Struthio camelus: one gene and its partner. The protein of the gene in region 2 purifies or fractionates together with the protein of the main gene of each other region. This does not show direct contact. Links are inferred from orthologs where the notes say so. Each region holds a gene or a part of one and is shown on either strand. Other genes may lie near its edges.

The links. Proteins that work in one complex are often made in the same cells at the same time.
Region 1: the proteins of FAM98A (region 2) and ATXN2L purify together in Homo sapiens (co-immunoprecipitation; 3 studies listed by BioGRID and IntAct, with this or other methods). This does not show direct contact. The link is inferred for Struthio camelus from reciprocal best matches to the Homo sapiens genes FAM98A and ATXN2L.

What each region holds. Positions count from the first base shown.
Region 1 is NC_090973.1:100,278-108,178, reverse strand, and holds the start of ATXN2L (ataxin-2-like protein), read right to left. Parts: upstream 3,008-7,901; coding exon 2,984-3,007; intron 2,374-2,983; coding exon 2,231-2,373; intron 1,546-2,230; coding exon 1,509-1,545; intron 1,412-1,508; coding exon 1,355-1,411; intron 1,234-1,354; coding exon 1,162-1,233; intron 1,074-1,161; coding exon 923-1,073; intron 839-922; coding exon 714-838; intron 639-713; coding exon 547-638; intron 446-546; coding exon 242-445; intron 157-241; coding exon 1-156. Other genes in the region: SH2B1 (SH2B adapter protein 1), read left to right, coding at 5,162-6,025, 6,172-6,273, 6,373-6,464, 6,678-6,784, 6,856-7,062, 7,647-7,864. UniProt on the Homo sapiens protein: Involved in the regulation of stress granule and P-body formation.
Region 2 is NC_090944.1:103,512,710-103,520,709, forward strand, and holds the start of FAM98A (protein FAM98A), read right to left. Parts: upstream 3,006-8,000; 5' UTR 2,817-3,005; intron 2,559-2,816; 5' UTR 2,523-2,558; coding exon 2,470-2,522; intron 1-2,469. UniProt on the Homo sapiens protein: Positively stimulates PRMT1-induced protein arginine methylation. Involved in skeletal homeostasis. Positively regulates lysosome peripheral distribution and ruffled border formation in osteoclasts.

The DNA.
Region 1 (7,901 bases), on a different chromosome or scaffold from region 2:
ATGCCGCGTTGCTCCGGGCCGGGTTCGGCGTGGTGGGGGGCGCCCCGAGGCGGGAGGGAGCCCACCCCGGGCCGCCCGCCGCGGGAGGAGCCGCAGCGCACGCCGCCGCGCGACCCGTCCCGCACGCGCTGCGGCAGCGGGTTGTACTTGCTCTCCCTGCGGAGAGAGGCGAGGGGCGCTCAGAGGGGCTGGGGGCGCTCGGAGGGGCCGGGGGGCGCTCGGAGGGGCCGGGGGGGCCGACCTGGCGGCGGCCAGGCTGGGGCTGTCGCGGCCGGAGCCCTGGCGCTGCACCGAGCTGTGCTTCTCCTCCTCCGTGCGCCCGTCGTCGTTCTCCATGGCGATGCGGAGCCGGTACTGCGGGCTCGACTCGATCTCCCGCGCCAGCTGGGCCGCCCGGGCCTCCCGCTGCCGAAACTCCTCCGAGTTGTCCTTCTCCAGCGGCACCCTGCGGGGGGGGGCCCGCGCGGCGTCAGCCCGGCCAGGGGCTCCCCGCGGCGGCGGCCGGACCCCCTGCTCCCCCCGCCCCGGCCCTGCCGGCGCGCTCACGTGTAGGAGGAGAGGCTGCTGTCGTAGGTGGTCTTCACGCCGTAGGTCTCCTCGTTGAACTTGAACATCTCGTTGGGGTCCCAGCCGTTGGACTGCGGGAGGAGAGGGCTCAGAGGCCGCCCGCGCCGCTCGCCGCCCCCGCCCCGGCCCCCGCCCCGGCCCCTCACCATGTCCGAATCCAGGTCGTAGTCGTCGCTGTTGCTGTCGCCCCCCTCCCAGCGCTGCAGCACCTTCTCCTTGTGCTCCCCGTTCACCTTCGAGTTCATGGCGATGGCCGAGTCGGTGAACTTGTCTGCAGGGGGGGCGGGGGTGAGGCCTGGCCGTCGCCCGCCCCCCCCCCCCCCCAACGCGGCTCTACCGCCCCCTCCCCGCGCACCTTTCGTGGCGTAGTTGAAGTCCACGTTGCGGAAGTGCACCAGCATGACGTCGGCGGGTTTGAAGACCATGGTGTCCACGATGTCCTCGCGCTTGGGGCCGGAGGGCTGGTCGGGGTTGCGCCGGTGCACGGCGTCCACCGCCAGCTCGAACTGCGGGGACGGACGGACGGACGGGCGGGCGTCACGGCGGGGCCGGGGGCGTCAGCCCGAGGCCGGGGCCGCCGCTGCCCGCACTCACCTTGGAGCTCAGCGTCTTGAAGATGCCCTCGAAGGTGCTGCCGTTCTTCACCTTGACGTCGCAGGTGGAGCCCTGGGCGGGAGAGGGGGAGGCGATGGACCGCGGCCCGGCCCGGGCGCCCCCCAGCACCGCAGCTGCCCCCCCCAGCGCCGGGACCGCCCCCCCCAGCGCCGGAGCCGCCCCGCGGACTCACCACCACGGCCGTCAGGAAGTGCAGCATGCGGGAGTTGTTGTAGACGCCCTCGAAGACCTGCGGGGAGGGGGGCGGAGGGGTGAGGGGCTCCCCCAAACCAGCGGCCCCCGCGCCGCCGCCGCCCCCCCCCGCCCCGAGCTCGCTGGTCACTTACCGGCGCCTGGGGGGGCCCCTTCCCCGTGCTCTGGCCCCTGAAACGCAAATGAGGGATGTGCCGGGTCCCCGCAGCCCAGTGGGGCCGGGGGGGTGCAGCCTCCGGGACCGCGGCGCGGGCGGAGCCCGGACACTTGGGTCCCTGGTCCCAGTGATGGGGGGGCCCGGACACCTGGGTCCCTGGTCCCAGTGATGGGGGGGCCCGGACACCTGGGTCCCACTGATGGGGGGGCCCGGACACCTGGGTCCCTCTGATGGGGGGGGCAGACAGCTAGGCCCCTGGTCCCACTGATGGGGGGGTCTGGATACCTGGGTGCCACTGATGGGGGGGGAGTCCTGGACACCTGGGTCCTTGGTCTCCCTGATGGGGGGGGGCCCGGACACCTGGGTCCCTGGTCTCCCTGATGGGGGGGGCCCGGACACCGGGGTCCCCCTGATGGGGGGGGGCCCGGACACCTGGGTCCCTGGTCCCCCTGATGGGGGGGGGGCACACTGGCACTTGTGGCCCACCGGACACCTGGGCCCCTTCCACCCCCTTGGGGGAGGCCGCGGCGGGGGGGGGGGGGCGGGGGCGTCCACCCCCCCACGTGCCCCTTCCCCCCGCCCTGATTGGCCGCGCCGCCGGCCAATCAGCGCCGGGCTCCCTCCTTTCCCCCCTCCCAACCCCTCCAACCCCCCCCTCCAACCCCCCCCTTTCCCGGCCCGGCAGGACCCGGATGTTACCTGGTGCCGCCGCTTCCTCCGGCGCCTCCCCCCCCCCCCGCCGCGCCGCCGCGGGCCGCTCCGCCGCCGGGGCTGAGGCTGCCGTTAGGGCTGGCGGCGGCGGCGGCGGCGGCGGGGGGAGGCGGCGGCGGCGGCGGCGGGGCCTTGCGGGCGGCGGGCGGCGGCGCCGCGGCGGCGGCGGGGGGCTGCGGGGGCAGCGGCTGCGGCTGCTTCAACATGGCGGCGGCGGCGGCGGCGGCGCGGCGTCTCCCTCCCCCCCCGCCCGGGGGCGCGCGCGGGGCGGCGGCGGCGGGTGGCGGCGGCGGGTGGCGGCGGCGGCGGCGCGCGCGGAGCCGGGCGCGGCGGAGCCGACCGGGGAGGGGAGGGGAGGGGAGGGGGGGCCGGGGCGCCGGCGGCCGCAGCGCGCGCGCCTCCCCTCGCGCCCTGTGTCCCTCCGCACAATGGGCGGGGAGACACCGCGCATGCGCGCCGCGCCGGCTTTTCCCTCTTTTTCTTTTTTTTTAATAATAACCCTTCCCCGGCCTCTTTCGCTTTTTGCTCACGTGACGGCGGAGGAAACGCCCCCCCCCCTTCCAGCACCGGCTTCGCTCCACGCGCGTTTCCTCCGCCGGCAGGGAAAAAAAAAAAAAAAAAAAAGTAGTCCCCCCTCCCCTCCCGCCGCGCATGCGCGCCGCCGCCACAAAGGGCGCCGCTCCCGCCCCCTCCGCGCTGCGCATGCGCGGCCGAGGCTACCCGCCTGCCTTCCCCCCCAACCCGCAAAATCCGGCGGCCGCGCATGCGCGCGCCGAAGGGGGTGGGGGGGTGGGGCGCATGCGCAGTGCGTCGCCTCTCCTCGCGGCCGGGTTGGGGGGGGCGGAGGGGCACGTGAGGACACGGGCGCCTCCAGTGAGATCCCTCCGCCGGCCGCATCACAGCGGGGGGGGGGCGCGGGAACGAGTCCCGGCTCCTGCCTCAACCCCGCCGCCCCCCCTTTCCCCCCCCGGCGACTGTCGCCTCTCAGGTACCGGCGGGAAGAGAGGGTGTTGTATGTCGTCGTCCCCCCCCGCGCGGTGGGGTGACCGGGGTCTCCATGGCGACCCCCAGCGCTCGGGGTGGGGGGGGCGCTCTGGCCCCGCCCGCCGCTCCGCGCTAGAGTTTACGTCTCACGCAGGGCGACGCTCTAGTCCTCCACGCGCTGGCTCTATGGTGTTTACGTTAGTACGGAGCGGGGGCTCGATAGCCTCGCCTCTCTATGGTGGCAGCGGGCGGCTGAGACAGTCTAGGCGTGGAAGAAGCCGAACTGGCTCTCTATGGCTCTCTGGGGGCCCTCTGCCTGCCTCCGTCTTCTCAGCTTTATGGTTCTCCTAGAGCCGCTCTAGTTACCCTCAGCCTTCTGCTCTATGATCAGCGGGAGCAAGAGGCGCCGCCATCCCGTCTCTATGGTGAGCAGCCGGGGGAGGGGGGGGAGGGGGCGCTCTGGTCTCCTCGCCCTCTCTACGCTCCGGCGAAGAAGGAGGGGGGACGCTCTGCACCGACTTGCCCCACCTCGATGCTCCCGGGGCGGCCGCTCCGGTCAGTGCTGCCCCCTCCCCACGGTCACTTGGGGGCGCTCCGACCCCCCCGCGCCACCTCGGGAGGCGGAAGCGGAAGAGCGGCGAGACCCGGAAGCGGAAGCCGCCGGGTGTGTGGGGGGGAGGTTGGGTCGGGCCGCCCCCGCCCCTCCCCCCCGCCCCGTTCGCACTCGGGACCAGCGACGCGGAGCCGGGGCGGGGCGGGGCCGCCATGGTCAGCACCGGGGCCGGGGGGGCCGGGGGCGGCCCTGCGGGGGACCCAGAGGGGTCTGGGGGGCCGAGCCGGGGGGCCGGGGGTGGCTGTGGGGGGTCCCGGGGGGGCCTGAGGGGCAGATGTGGGGGCTGTGGGGGGTCCCCGAGGGGCCTGCGGGGAAGATGTGGGGTCTGGGGGGGGTCTGAGATGACTGTGGGGGGTCCCGGGGGGCCTGGGGGGGCAGATGTGGGGGCTGTGGGGGGTCCCCGAGGGGCCTGCGGGGAAGATGTGGGGTTTGTGGGGGGCTGAGAGTGGCTGTGTGGGGTCCCAGAGAGGCCTGTGGGGCAGATGTGCGGTCTGTGGGGGGTCTGAGATGGCTGTGTGGGGTCCCCGAGGGGCCTGGGGGGGCAGATGTGGGGGCTGTGGGGGCCAGGGGTGGCTGTATGGGATCCCCGAGGGGCCTGTGGGGCAGATGTGGGGTCTGTGGGGGGTCTGAGATGGCTGTAGGGGGTCTGTGAGAGGCCTGTGGGGCAGATGTGGGGTCTGTGGGGGGCCAGGGGTGGCTGTGTGGGGTCCCCAAGGGGCCTGTGGGGCAGATGTGGGGTCTGTGGGGGGTCTGAGATGGCTGTAGGGGGTCTGTGAGAGGCCTGTGGGGCAGATGTGGGGTCTGGGGGGGGTCTGAGATGGCTGTGTGGGTCCCAGAGGGGCCTGTGGGGTAGATGTGGGGATTTGTGCGGGGCCAAGAGCTGCCCTGCAGGGTCACGAAAGGACAGGAAGGGTCTGGGGGGCAGATTTGGGGAGTCAGGGACGTCCTTATGGGGTCCTGGGCAGAGCATAGAGGATCGGGGTGGTCCTGCGGGGTCCTGGATGGAGGATGAAGGGTCTGGGGGGCAGATCCGGGGGCTCCAGGGGGTCAGGGCCATCCTTATGGGGTGCTGGGTAGAGGATGAGGGCTCTGGGGGGGAGATTGAGGGACTTTGGGAGGCCGGGAACGGCTCCCGGAGAGCCCGGAGCGGTGCCAGCGGGAGGAGGAGGAGGAGGAGGAAGCTCCGGCGGTCCCGGGCCGACCGCCCCGTCTCTGTCTCCGCAGGTGAGGACGAGCGCGGCCGCCGGGGCAGCAGCGGCGTCCGCAGCGCGTTGGGGCCGCGGGACGCGGGGGCGCCCGGGCCCCCCGGGGCCGCCGGCGGCATGAACGGCAGCGCGGGGGCCGGCGGCGGCGGCGGGGGGGGGACGCCCCCGCCCTGCCCGCCGGCTCCCCCGGGCTGGCGGGACTTCTGCGAGACCCACGCTCGCGCGGCCGCCCGGGACTTCGCCCGCCGCTTCCGGGCCTTCGTCAGCGACAACCCGCAGTTCGGGGCGCCGGGGGCCGAAGCCGCCTTCTCCCGCCGCTTCGCCGAGCACTTCGTGGAGCACTTCGAGGCCGAGGTGACGCGAGCCTGCGCCGGCGGGGACGCCTCGCCGCCCCGCTGCGCCATCGCCCCCTTCACGGGCGCCCACCGCCCCCGGGACGTCTCGGAGACCTGCAGCGAGTCGTCGGTGGCCTCGCCGCTGGAGCCCGCCGCCGCCGCCGTCGCCGCCCCGGGGCTGCCGGGGGGCCAGTCGCGCAGCTCCGAGGACGTGGCCGCCGCCGCCGCCGGCTCCAAGGCCAAGCTGCGCAAGCGCTTCTCCCTGCGCAGCGTGGGCCGCAGCGTCCGCGGCATCCTGCAGTGGCGCGGCGCGGCCGAGCCGCCGGCCGCCGGCCGCGAGCCGCCCGCCGCCGGCGCCAACACCAACTCCAACTCGTCCGGCGGCGCCGGCGATGCCGCCCCGGCCGCCGGCGAGCGCTGGGCCCAGCGCTTGGAGCGCCTGCGCCTCGGCCGAGCCCCCGGCGCCCGGGCCGAGCCCTGCAGCGTCCGGCGCGAGGGCCTGCTCAACTTCATCGTGGCGGACGACGGCGGGCCCGGGGCGGGCGCGGGGGGCCGTGCCCGCTGGCAGCGGTGCCGCCTGCTGCTCAGGAAGGCCGGGAAAGGCGACGGGGACGGCTACGCCCTGGAGTTTTACGTCCCGCCGAAGGTGGGCTCGGGCGGCGGCGGAGGGGGGCAGCGCCGGGATCCGCTCTCCGCCGTCCCCGAGGAGCGACGGGGAAGGGCTCGGGGACGCGGAGGCGAGGGGAACCGGAGCCCCTGGCGTCCCCCGTCACCTCGCCCCGTCCCCAACAGGCCACCAAGGCTCGCGTCAGCATCCTGTGCTCGGCGGTGACGGCCGTGCGCACCACCACGCCGCTGGAGATGCCCGACAAGGAGAACACGTTCGTCCTGAAGGTGCCGGTGGCGGCGGGGGGGGGGTGAGGCGAGGGGGGCCGCGGTGGCAGCAAGCGCTGACCCCCCCCCTTCCTCCTCCTCCTCCTCGCGCTCCGCCAGATGGAGAACTCGCTCGAGTACATCCTGGAGACGGTCGACTCGCTGCAGATGAAGTCGTGGCTGGCCGACATCCAGGACTGCATGAGCCCGGGGTGAGCCCCGCGTGCCCCCCCTCCGCGCCCCGGGCCGCCTCCTTTGCCCCCCATCCCGGCGGCCCCTTTCGCCCGCACTCGCCTCTCTTCCCTCTGCTGCCCCCTCCCCGCCCTCGGCAGCGCTGGCGCGGGTCCCCCCCCCCCAACCCTGTCCCCTCGCCCCGGGGACGGGGCCACGAGCGCTCGTCCCCCCCTCCGGCCCGTGTCCCGCAGGGAGGAGGCGGAGAGCCCGGCCGCCCCGTGCCTGAACCACTCGGAGAGCGTGCCCAGCCGGGAGCTGCCCCTGCTGCCCGGCGAGAGCAGCGAGCACCTGGCGCAGGGTGAGTCCCGGCGCCCTGCGCCCCGGCCCGGCGCCCCCGGCCGGCTCTGACGGCCTCCCCGCCGCCCCCAGGCGCCTACGGCGGGCTCTCCGAGCGCCCCTCGGCCTCCGTGTCGCCCAGCTCCGTCTCCATCGCCGCCTCCCACTTCGACTCCATGGAGATGCTGCCGCCGGAGCTGCCCCCCCGGATCCCCATCGAGGAGGCGGCCGAGCGGCTCCAGGCCCCCTTCCCCCCCGGGCTGCTGCACACCCCCTTCCCCGACACCCCCGACGGCGCAGGTGCGGGGGGACGGGGCACCGCGCTGGGGGTCTCGGGGAGGGTTTGGGGTGTCGGGGTTGGTGCTGGGGGTCTGGGGAGGGTTTGGGGTGTCGGGGTCAGTGCTGGGGGTCTTGGGGAGGGTTTGGGGCATCGGGGTTGGCACTGGGGGTCTGGCGAAGGATTTGGGATGTCGGGGTTGGCACTGGGGGTCTGGCGAAGGATTTGGGATGTCGGGGTTGGCGCTGGGGGTGTTTGGGGAGGGTTTGGGGTGTCAAGGTCAGTGCTGGGGCTCTGCAGGAGGGTTTGGGGTGTCGGGGTCGGCGCTGGGGGTGTTTGGGGAGGGTTTGGGGTGTCGGGGTTGGCACTGGGGGTCTGGCGAAGGATTTGGGATGTCGGGGTTGGTGCTGGGGGTGTCTGGGCAGGGTTTGGGGTGTCAGGGCTGGCATTGGGGGTGTTTGGGGAGGGTTTGGGGTGTCGGGGCTGGCATTGGGGGTGTTTGGGGAGGGTTTGGGGTGTCGGGGTCGGCGCTGGGGCTCTGTAGGGTGGTTTTTAGGGCTCCCTCTTTCCGCCTTGGTCTCTCTGATGCTCTCCGTGCCCTCGGCAGGCTCCTTCCTCTTCCAGGCGGAGGCGGAGGCGGGCGAGGGGGACCCCGAGCACCCGCTCTCCGAGTACCCCTGGTTCCACGGCACCCTCTCGCGGCTGAAGGCGGCCCAGCTGGTGCTGGCGGGGGGCACCAGCAGCCACGGCGTCTTCCTGGTGCGGCAGAGCGAGACGCGCCGGGGCGAGTACGTCCTCACCTTCAACTTCCAGGGCAAGGCCAAGGTGAGGGAGCGGCGGGGGGCGGGCGGGGGGCCGGGGC
Region 2 (8,000 bases):
AGCATGATTCTACAGAACTGATTTTAAAAGATGTAGTTTTCAGGACGTCTGTGTACCTTGCTGGGGGGAAGAGGAGGGTGAAGAGGAGGGAGAAACAGCCTTATTACCCAGGCAGAGGAACAAAGTTAGAGCTTACCAGAGTATAAAATCCACAATATCACTTTTGCGTACCGCACTCAAAACAGAAGGACATCCAAGAGTGAGTATAATCAACTGAAATTGCTATTTCAAGTTTCCACTGTAAAGTTACCCATTAAGTCACAGCGACCCAGTGAGTTCAGTCAACTCTTGGCCAATCTCCGAAGCAACAAATCTCTCAAAGAGTAAAATAATATGTTATTTTTCCATACTTTATTCTTTTGATTAACATTACATATAAAGGGTTTCTCTTCACTGTAATAGCTTCACCCAACCAAAATGAAGAAGCCATACTCCAAGTAACTTTTACTCCAAAGAGCAGCTTGATTAATGATACGGAGCTGATGGGAAGTTATAATTTGATCTACTTCAGCCCCACCGCATTACCACAGTGAGCCAGATGCAATTCCAACAGGCTACTTAGAGTAAGCTTAAGTCCCACCGCACAGACTCATCAGACTTACACGTGTATAGGAACACACAAGACTCAAAATAGAAACATCAAGTTATAGCTCTAAGCAGAGCTGACGACAAGCCTTTTGCTTTGGCAGGATCTGGATTTAAGTTGCTCGTCATGTTAGAGGCTCCTTCTCTGAAATTTTTCTTTGATAGATATGACATCTTAACTATATTATTTCCGATAACCATGATTCAACTATACAGCTATTCAGCCAGTAATCCAACTTGCAGCTTCCTCGCCAGCCTTTTTCTTCTAAAGCACTTTAAAAGCTTTCAGGCCCATGCTTCCATTCCTCCCCCTCTCCCACAGTGTACGTTCTCGAGCTACGTTCTCCTTCAGTAGCGTTTTGATATCGGATTTGTTTGCTTTTTCAATAGTTCAAACTGACTTAAAAGGGAAGAGGCCACTGTTTGAGCAGTTCTCACACAACTTCAAGAACAAACAAACAATTTTATGATGTGCAATGCTATTAAACAAAAATCAAGCAATAAAGTAAGTCTTCAGCATTTAGTTAGAAAAAAAATATGTTGAACTTCAAAGGATAATGGAATTATTGTCAAAGCTTAAAAACCCCAAGCCCCCAAGCTTGTACAAACACAAGGAAACTAACAGAAATCTTTTAGTTGCATGCATGTAGCAGTCTTCCAGGTTGTTCCTGTTACTGCTGAAGTCCTGTCTTTTGCTCCCCAAATTTTCTTTACAAACACTGCTGCCAATATCACCACTGATATCACTGACTTACTTTTTACTCCATTTGGCTTGTTCGCTTTATTTTAATATGTCAAGAATCAACAGCAAGAGTTTCTAATCACTTCTGTGATTACTACACAAATCATAACTCCTTCAAGTCAGTAATATCCTTTCAAACATGTGGCAGGAAAAAAAAGCAGAAGTTTACGGTATTTGCAACATGAGAGAGACCTTTTCACATTTCAGTCAAACAAATACCTGCAAAAACAGTAGCCTATTTGTCAAGCATTGGAGCTATCATCACCAACTTAGCCTGGAAACATAATCTTTGTGGCTAGAGTCATTATGCTCCAACAAAGTGATTTACGGGAATGCAGCCAATGTGAGAAAATACAGCTGTTTGCACAGAACCAGCAGCAGTAAAATTGCAACGGCCTCTTTTCTGAGCCCTCAACAGTTTACAGGCAGACAAGCTTACACTACGACAATGTTCCGCTTGCTTTCTCGCATATTTTTTACAACCTCTGCTGACTCTGACAGAGTAGCAGGATTAAACAACACAAGTTTCTTGCATTACATTCTAAAAAAAAGCAGCTAAAGGGAAAATACTACGTCATTTATTTTTTTTTTTTACCAATTTTTTTTTTTCCACAAGAACTGAAGCCCAAACGCTTTCCCCTCCCCTCACTTCTCCGACAAGGTTTCTCTCCTCGTTCCCCACCTCCAGCCAGGAGAGCTCTACTGACAGGAAGGGCATCACCAGAGTCTGGGCAACCAACACTCACCACGGGGGCAAAAACTCTGCAAAGACGTTGCGGCTAAAAGCAGCCTGCTTGGCTTCGCGCGTTTCCTTACGCCAAAGCGACACTACCCACGGGTGGTTTTAGGGCCGGCCCCCCCCGAGGTGGTCATGAGGAAAGGGATATTGCCGGGGCTGAAGCCGGGGAGCCCCGGCTGCGGCTCTGCCCGGCATCGCAGCGCCGGGGGGATGCGAGCCCCGCTTCCCTGCCCGCCCCCCCCGCCGCCGGCGGGCAGCCGCGCTCCCCTGACGGGGGCCCCTTGCCGGGGGCCATCACCCGCCAACCGCGCCACCTCCCCCCGGCCCAGCCGACGGCGGCGCCGGGGCAAGGCAAGGCCCGGGGCCAGGGCGGTGCTCAAGCCCCCGGCGCCGCGGCACCTACCCCAGATCCTCCAGCGACTCCAGCACGTCGCTCTCCAGCAGCTCGAACTCCATCCTGCGGCGGGGACCGGGGAGGGGGGGGGGGGAAACCTGCGTGAGAGCCGGCACTCAGCGCCCCGCCACCCGCAGGCCCCGCCGCCCCCGCCTCTCCCCATGGCGGGGGAAGAGGGGGGCTCGACCGTTACCCCCTCCCCCACCGAACCCCCCCCCGCCCGCCCGCCCGCCCGCCGGCGCGCGCCTGCTCCCGCCCTGCCCCCCGCGCCGCGTTCCCCCCCCCCCCCCCGCCGCCGCCGCCGCCGCCGCCGCCGCCGCCGCCGCCGCCGCCGCCGCCCGCCGGCCCCCACGTACACTGCCCGCGCGCTGCTACGCCGCCGACTGCCGGGTTGGCATGTCAGGGTGGGGGAGGGAGCAGGTCCCCGGCATGACCCTTCACCCGGCTCCCAGAGGGCTGCCCGAGCGCGCTGCCTGATCGGTCTGGCCTGCTTCTGCCGCACTTCCTGCCTCCCCGCCGCACCAGGCCGCGTTGCCAAACGAGACGAAGACGTCCAGGCGGGCGCCTAAGTGTTTTGAGGGACGGAAGCCGGAGGCGAGCGAAGGATCCCATGTTTCTGTTCAGGCGGCGCTGCGGGCAGTCCCTGAGAAAGGACCCCCCCTCCCTCCCGTAGAACCCACGCTGGAATGTGCTGGTGTGAGCCGTAGAGCCCATAAGGGTAGAAAAGGAGAAGGAGACGGGGCGGGAGAAGGGTCAAATTACATCAGTGACGGAACGCTTCTCCGCCTATGAGGTCCCCCGCGGCAGCATGGGGACTACAAATCCCAGCATACAACGCTCCTCGTGGCCTTCGCGGCCGCCGTAGGGTGGCGCGGCGCCTCCTGTTTTCCTGTGGGGCGCGGGTTTCCTTGCGGCGCCATGTCGTCGGTGGCCGCAGGGTTTTGGCCGCTGCCGTGCGGGGGAGGGGGGTTGCCGTCCCTTTGGAGCTGGGGCCGGTGGCCGAGGTTTAGGGAGGAGGCGGCCCGCAGAGCTAAGAGCCGGTGGGGTGGGCCCCGGTGTGCCAGGGAAGGCTGGGGCCTTCGGCACTGGGGGGGAGGCCCGGACGGTGGGGCAGGGGCTCGTGGTAGAAAGTGCGGCTGTGGCAGGAAAAGATGAAGCTGCTGCTAGTGCGGGTCTGCTTCGTCTCTCGGCAGGTTTGCGGGGGCCAGGGCAGGCTGTGCCTTGGCAGGTGCCGGCTGCGGCCATGTGCCGCTGTCCTAGAAGTAACCTGGTTGTTGAAGATGCTAAAGCAGTGCTGGCTGGAACAGAGTCTGCCTGACTTTATGCTAATAGTACGACTCCTTAAGGTTGTGAGCTGGCAGCTTTCTTAAGTCTTCCTTTGCCTGGGGGGAAAGGAAGTTGCTGAACACTGTGCAGTTCCCCCAGCTGCTTAGTTGCCAGCATGCTCTGAAGGGAAAGCCATGCAAATGGATAAAGATGCAGCGTTTGTAATAGAAAGCTCAGATGTGGGCTAGGGCATAATTTTGCCTGGTCTTTCTGGTTCTTCTTGTCAGTATTACCATATTGCCTGGGACACAGCGGTTCCACAGAAAGCACGTCAGCGCTAAAAGGGAAGCGTGCGTGGGAGAGCACGTTGTGTTGTAAAGGCCAGGCCGTGTCAGTGAAAGCCAAGAGTGCCGACGCTGAAAATAACTCCAGCCCTTCAACAGCAGTGAGCTGATGTTCCAGCAGAGGATTTTTGGCTGCCTGCACTTCATGAAATCACCCTTGGCAAGCAAAAAGAAGAACTGTAGTCAAACAAGGAAGTAGCTTGTAGCCTCAAGATAGGTGAGAAGAAGGAACACGGTGCCTCAAAGGACTAGAAAGAAGTCATGCTTCACAAATAGGTGGTTCAGTTGTTGGCTTTGCCATTAAAAATAGGTCAGACTACTAGTTCAGGGGAAAATTACCTCCTAAAGACTAAGAACTGACATGTGAAAGGAATAATGCCGGCATTCCTGTTTCTTTGCCTGTTTACTTCTAGTTGTGTCATGGTTGGTAAAGAGTAACCATAGGCAATTTCAGTTTGAAAAATCAGATCATCTATTATGCTCATGGCAAGCTGTCTTATTACTGCTGGGCAAAACATGTCTGTAAGAATTTCCTGCTTTTACTTTAGTCCATTCATCCTGGATTTACTCAGAATATCTCAGATATTCAGTCTTGGAGCCCTGCCTGGATGAGCAGACCAAGCTGGGGTTTTTTTCCGTCTAAAGTTCAACACTGCAGTTGAAGCCTTGTGACACTTGTTAATAAAATGGTTGTGTTCAGCTTGCTTACACAATTGGATGTGCACAAAGCATAGTAGTTTTTCACGAGTGCTAATTACTCTTCCATTGCAATTGATGGCTTTCCACAGCTGCAGGCCAACTGATCCAAAGGGAATTTTTTTTTTTTTGCTGTCCTGTGATAACAGTGTACAGCAATCATTGTTTTGAGATGGAGAAAGCCCTTACGGTGTTCGAGATGGAGAAAGCCCTTAACGCTGTTAGCTGCTTTGGGCACTGCACAAATGTTGTTGCATCTGGAACTGGGGTGAGGTTGGGAAAGGTCTCTGCGGAGCCACATCTCTGTGCACCTCCCTTGTCCTGGAGTCTGCATGCAACTGGTAGGTGAGGGTGCTGAAACCAGGTGAGCCTCCTGAGCTCATCTCCTCCATCGGAAGTAGAGCTTTACTAGGAAGCTGGTAAAGCAATGTTAATTTTGTGGCCCAAATAACTAGAAGAGACTTTGCCCAAAACGTTGGTCATTCACAAGCCAAATATTCTTTAAGCGTGGGCTGGCTGCTGTTTGGCTAGCAATTTTGGCACAAATCCCAGCAGCTCATCTGCTGAGGACACTGTGGCTATGAGATCACGTGGACTCATGGGATGACTGAACAAGTATGTGGAAAAGAGATCTATTGATGGTTACTAAACTGAAAAATTACGTCAGTATCAGGAAATCCCAAGAGTTGAAAATAGCTGGGAGAATATATGGGCAGGGAAAAAGAGGGGAGTAATATATGTGTTTTTCCTGTTCTTACTCTTCTCAAAGCGTCTGCTTAGGGCCAGTGTTGGAAGTGCAATACTGGGCTAGGTGATACCCTGATTTCAGTTGGTGTGTCTGGTTTGTATATGCATCACTGTCCTATGAACTAACTAGCTACGTAGATACGGCTCATTTTGAGGGCACTACAAACAGTGTTTTTACTGGTTGAATACATTGTGGTCTTCTTAGTTTAACTGTACAATTGAGTGAGTTCCTCTGCCCCTATTTTTATGTTTTCCAAAGATGTGACTTTCCTGTCTTAACAGCAAGGCTACCTGTGAGGTGACAACTCCAGCATAATGTGTTTTTGCCATACTCCTTACAGAAGACAGAATTGGAAAGCATGTGTTTTGCAAATGTGCTGCAAGAACTTTATTTAACAAAACCGCTTTATGTCAGTGTACCTGCAAATTCACTTATCTCTGAGGAGTTTGCTCTGACTTAGTTCACCGTGGTCTTTTGGGCATAAGAAGAAACTAGTTTTGTACTAACTGCTTCACCTTCCATCTAATATTCCCCAGCAGCAAGTCCTGAACTCAAGAGAACGCTTCCGCTGACTTTGGCAGGGTCGTTTAGATCTATATTAGGAACAAACAGGGGGTAAGGGCCTGTTTATTTGTACTGCAATTCCAGGTCCAAAAAAAAAAAAAAAAAGTGCAAACTAATTCCGAACCTTTTCAGGCTGGCCCCTATTAAATGGGTGCTTAGAGAATTCTCCAGAATGTCAAACTTGCATGAAAAAAAATGCCTGAATAAAACAAGTGCTACGTAAAGAAAACTAGACTTCTGTACATGATCTGACAGCAAGACTTTTAGCTTGACTAAAAGCTGAGTAGACTGATTTGTTGACTTATCTCAACATCAGTGTTTCAGCCACAAGTATTTATGTCCCATGTCTCAGCTAAGGATAGCCGGCCAAGATCACTCATACAGCAATATCAATGTGCATGGATGGTGTTTCTCAGAAACAAATTAATCTTGCCCCAAACAGTTTGCTATTAAGCAATGAGATCCGTAGCTCTGCAAAACAGTTACTTCTGAGAGTAGCGTGGACTCAGGTTGTCAGCTCGCTCAAGAGCTGTAAGTGGGGTCGTTGATTTTTATGGGCTATCCAAAGGCTTCAGAAGACTTCTGCCTTATTCCAAAGAATTTTCAGGCTGCAGAACTGAGCTCAACTTGCCTTGCATTTTTCCCTTCCTGACTGAGGTTTGTTAGAGCTCCGCGCCTTCTCACCTTCACTCCGAGAGGTGTAGCTCTGGGAAGTCCGTGTAATCCTTAGGTGATTTAACTGCAGCCTGGAGCCATGTGTGGCCAGCTAGGCTGTGCCAGTGTGGGAAGAGTTACGGGGTAACAATTTTTATTTCCCCTATGGGAAGAACCAAACCAGCAGAGGCTGCTGCAGTCACATCCACTGTGACTGGACCCCTGTAAACTCCTCCTTGGCCCCCTCTTCCCCTTAGTCCTGGAACGATGTGGCATGCATACAGTGGCTCTTGGTCAGCTGCTCTCAGGATGTGAGGTGCAGGTCAAGGAAGCTGGCAGTCCCTGCATAGCCTGAGGCTGCACAGCAGCCAGGAACACTTAATCTGGAGAAGTGTGAAACGCTCCACTGATCTGATGCCAATTGTCATTTAACAGACACACAACTGGTTTCCTGTGGATTTGCCTGCTGTGACTGATTGGTTTTGGTGTCTAGGATGATGTGAGCTCTGACTGAAGATACAGGACTTTGTCCTGTGAGGATTCCCGAGCATCTAATAAAGTGTGAGCTGATGCAACCTCTTCTTCAGCTTTGCACCAAAAGGATTGGCCTTCAATGTGTAGGAGGCTTGTTAAACTCGCCTGGAATGGGTCATCCAGTTCAAAGACACGCACCTTGATAATTTAAGCCTCGCTTCCTTAGGAAACCTGGCTGAAGATGATGACATTAAGGTGGGCATTATTTCAATACAGCAAGATTATTTCACAGTATTAAAAAGTCCATTCATCTTTTCACAGTCATGTCTGTTTGCCCTGTGGTTGCCAAAAGCACCATGGTAGGGACATACTGAAATCTACAGTGGGTCAGACCAAGGTCTAGTTAGCCTAGTAGCCTGCTGGTAATATCTACTAAAACCAGATACGAAGGGAAGATTAAGAACAGGACAAGCATGTATGACATTCCTCCCAGCAGTTCTCTGCCAGCCTCAGACTGCTTTCAGCTCTTGGGACTTCTTCAATCTTTACTCCTCTTCTGTCAGGTCCTAGATTTTTTTCATCACCAGTCCTTCTGCTCTCCCAATGCCTTTTTCATTCTCCAGGGTTTGTGGGGGGATTTTTTTCCCTCCTCGTTCTCTTCAGGTCCCATTTCTGTCTTCAGTAGCCATTTGTCCACCCAGGGCTCTTAATTCTGTTACCAGTTGCATCACAATAGCAGGGTTGAGTCTATCCACAGCTGGGCTAGTCTCTGAAATGCAGTATTACCCCCCGCC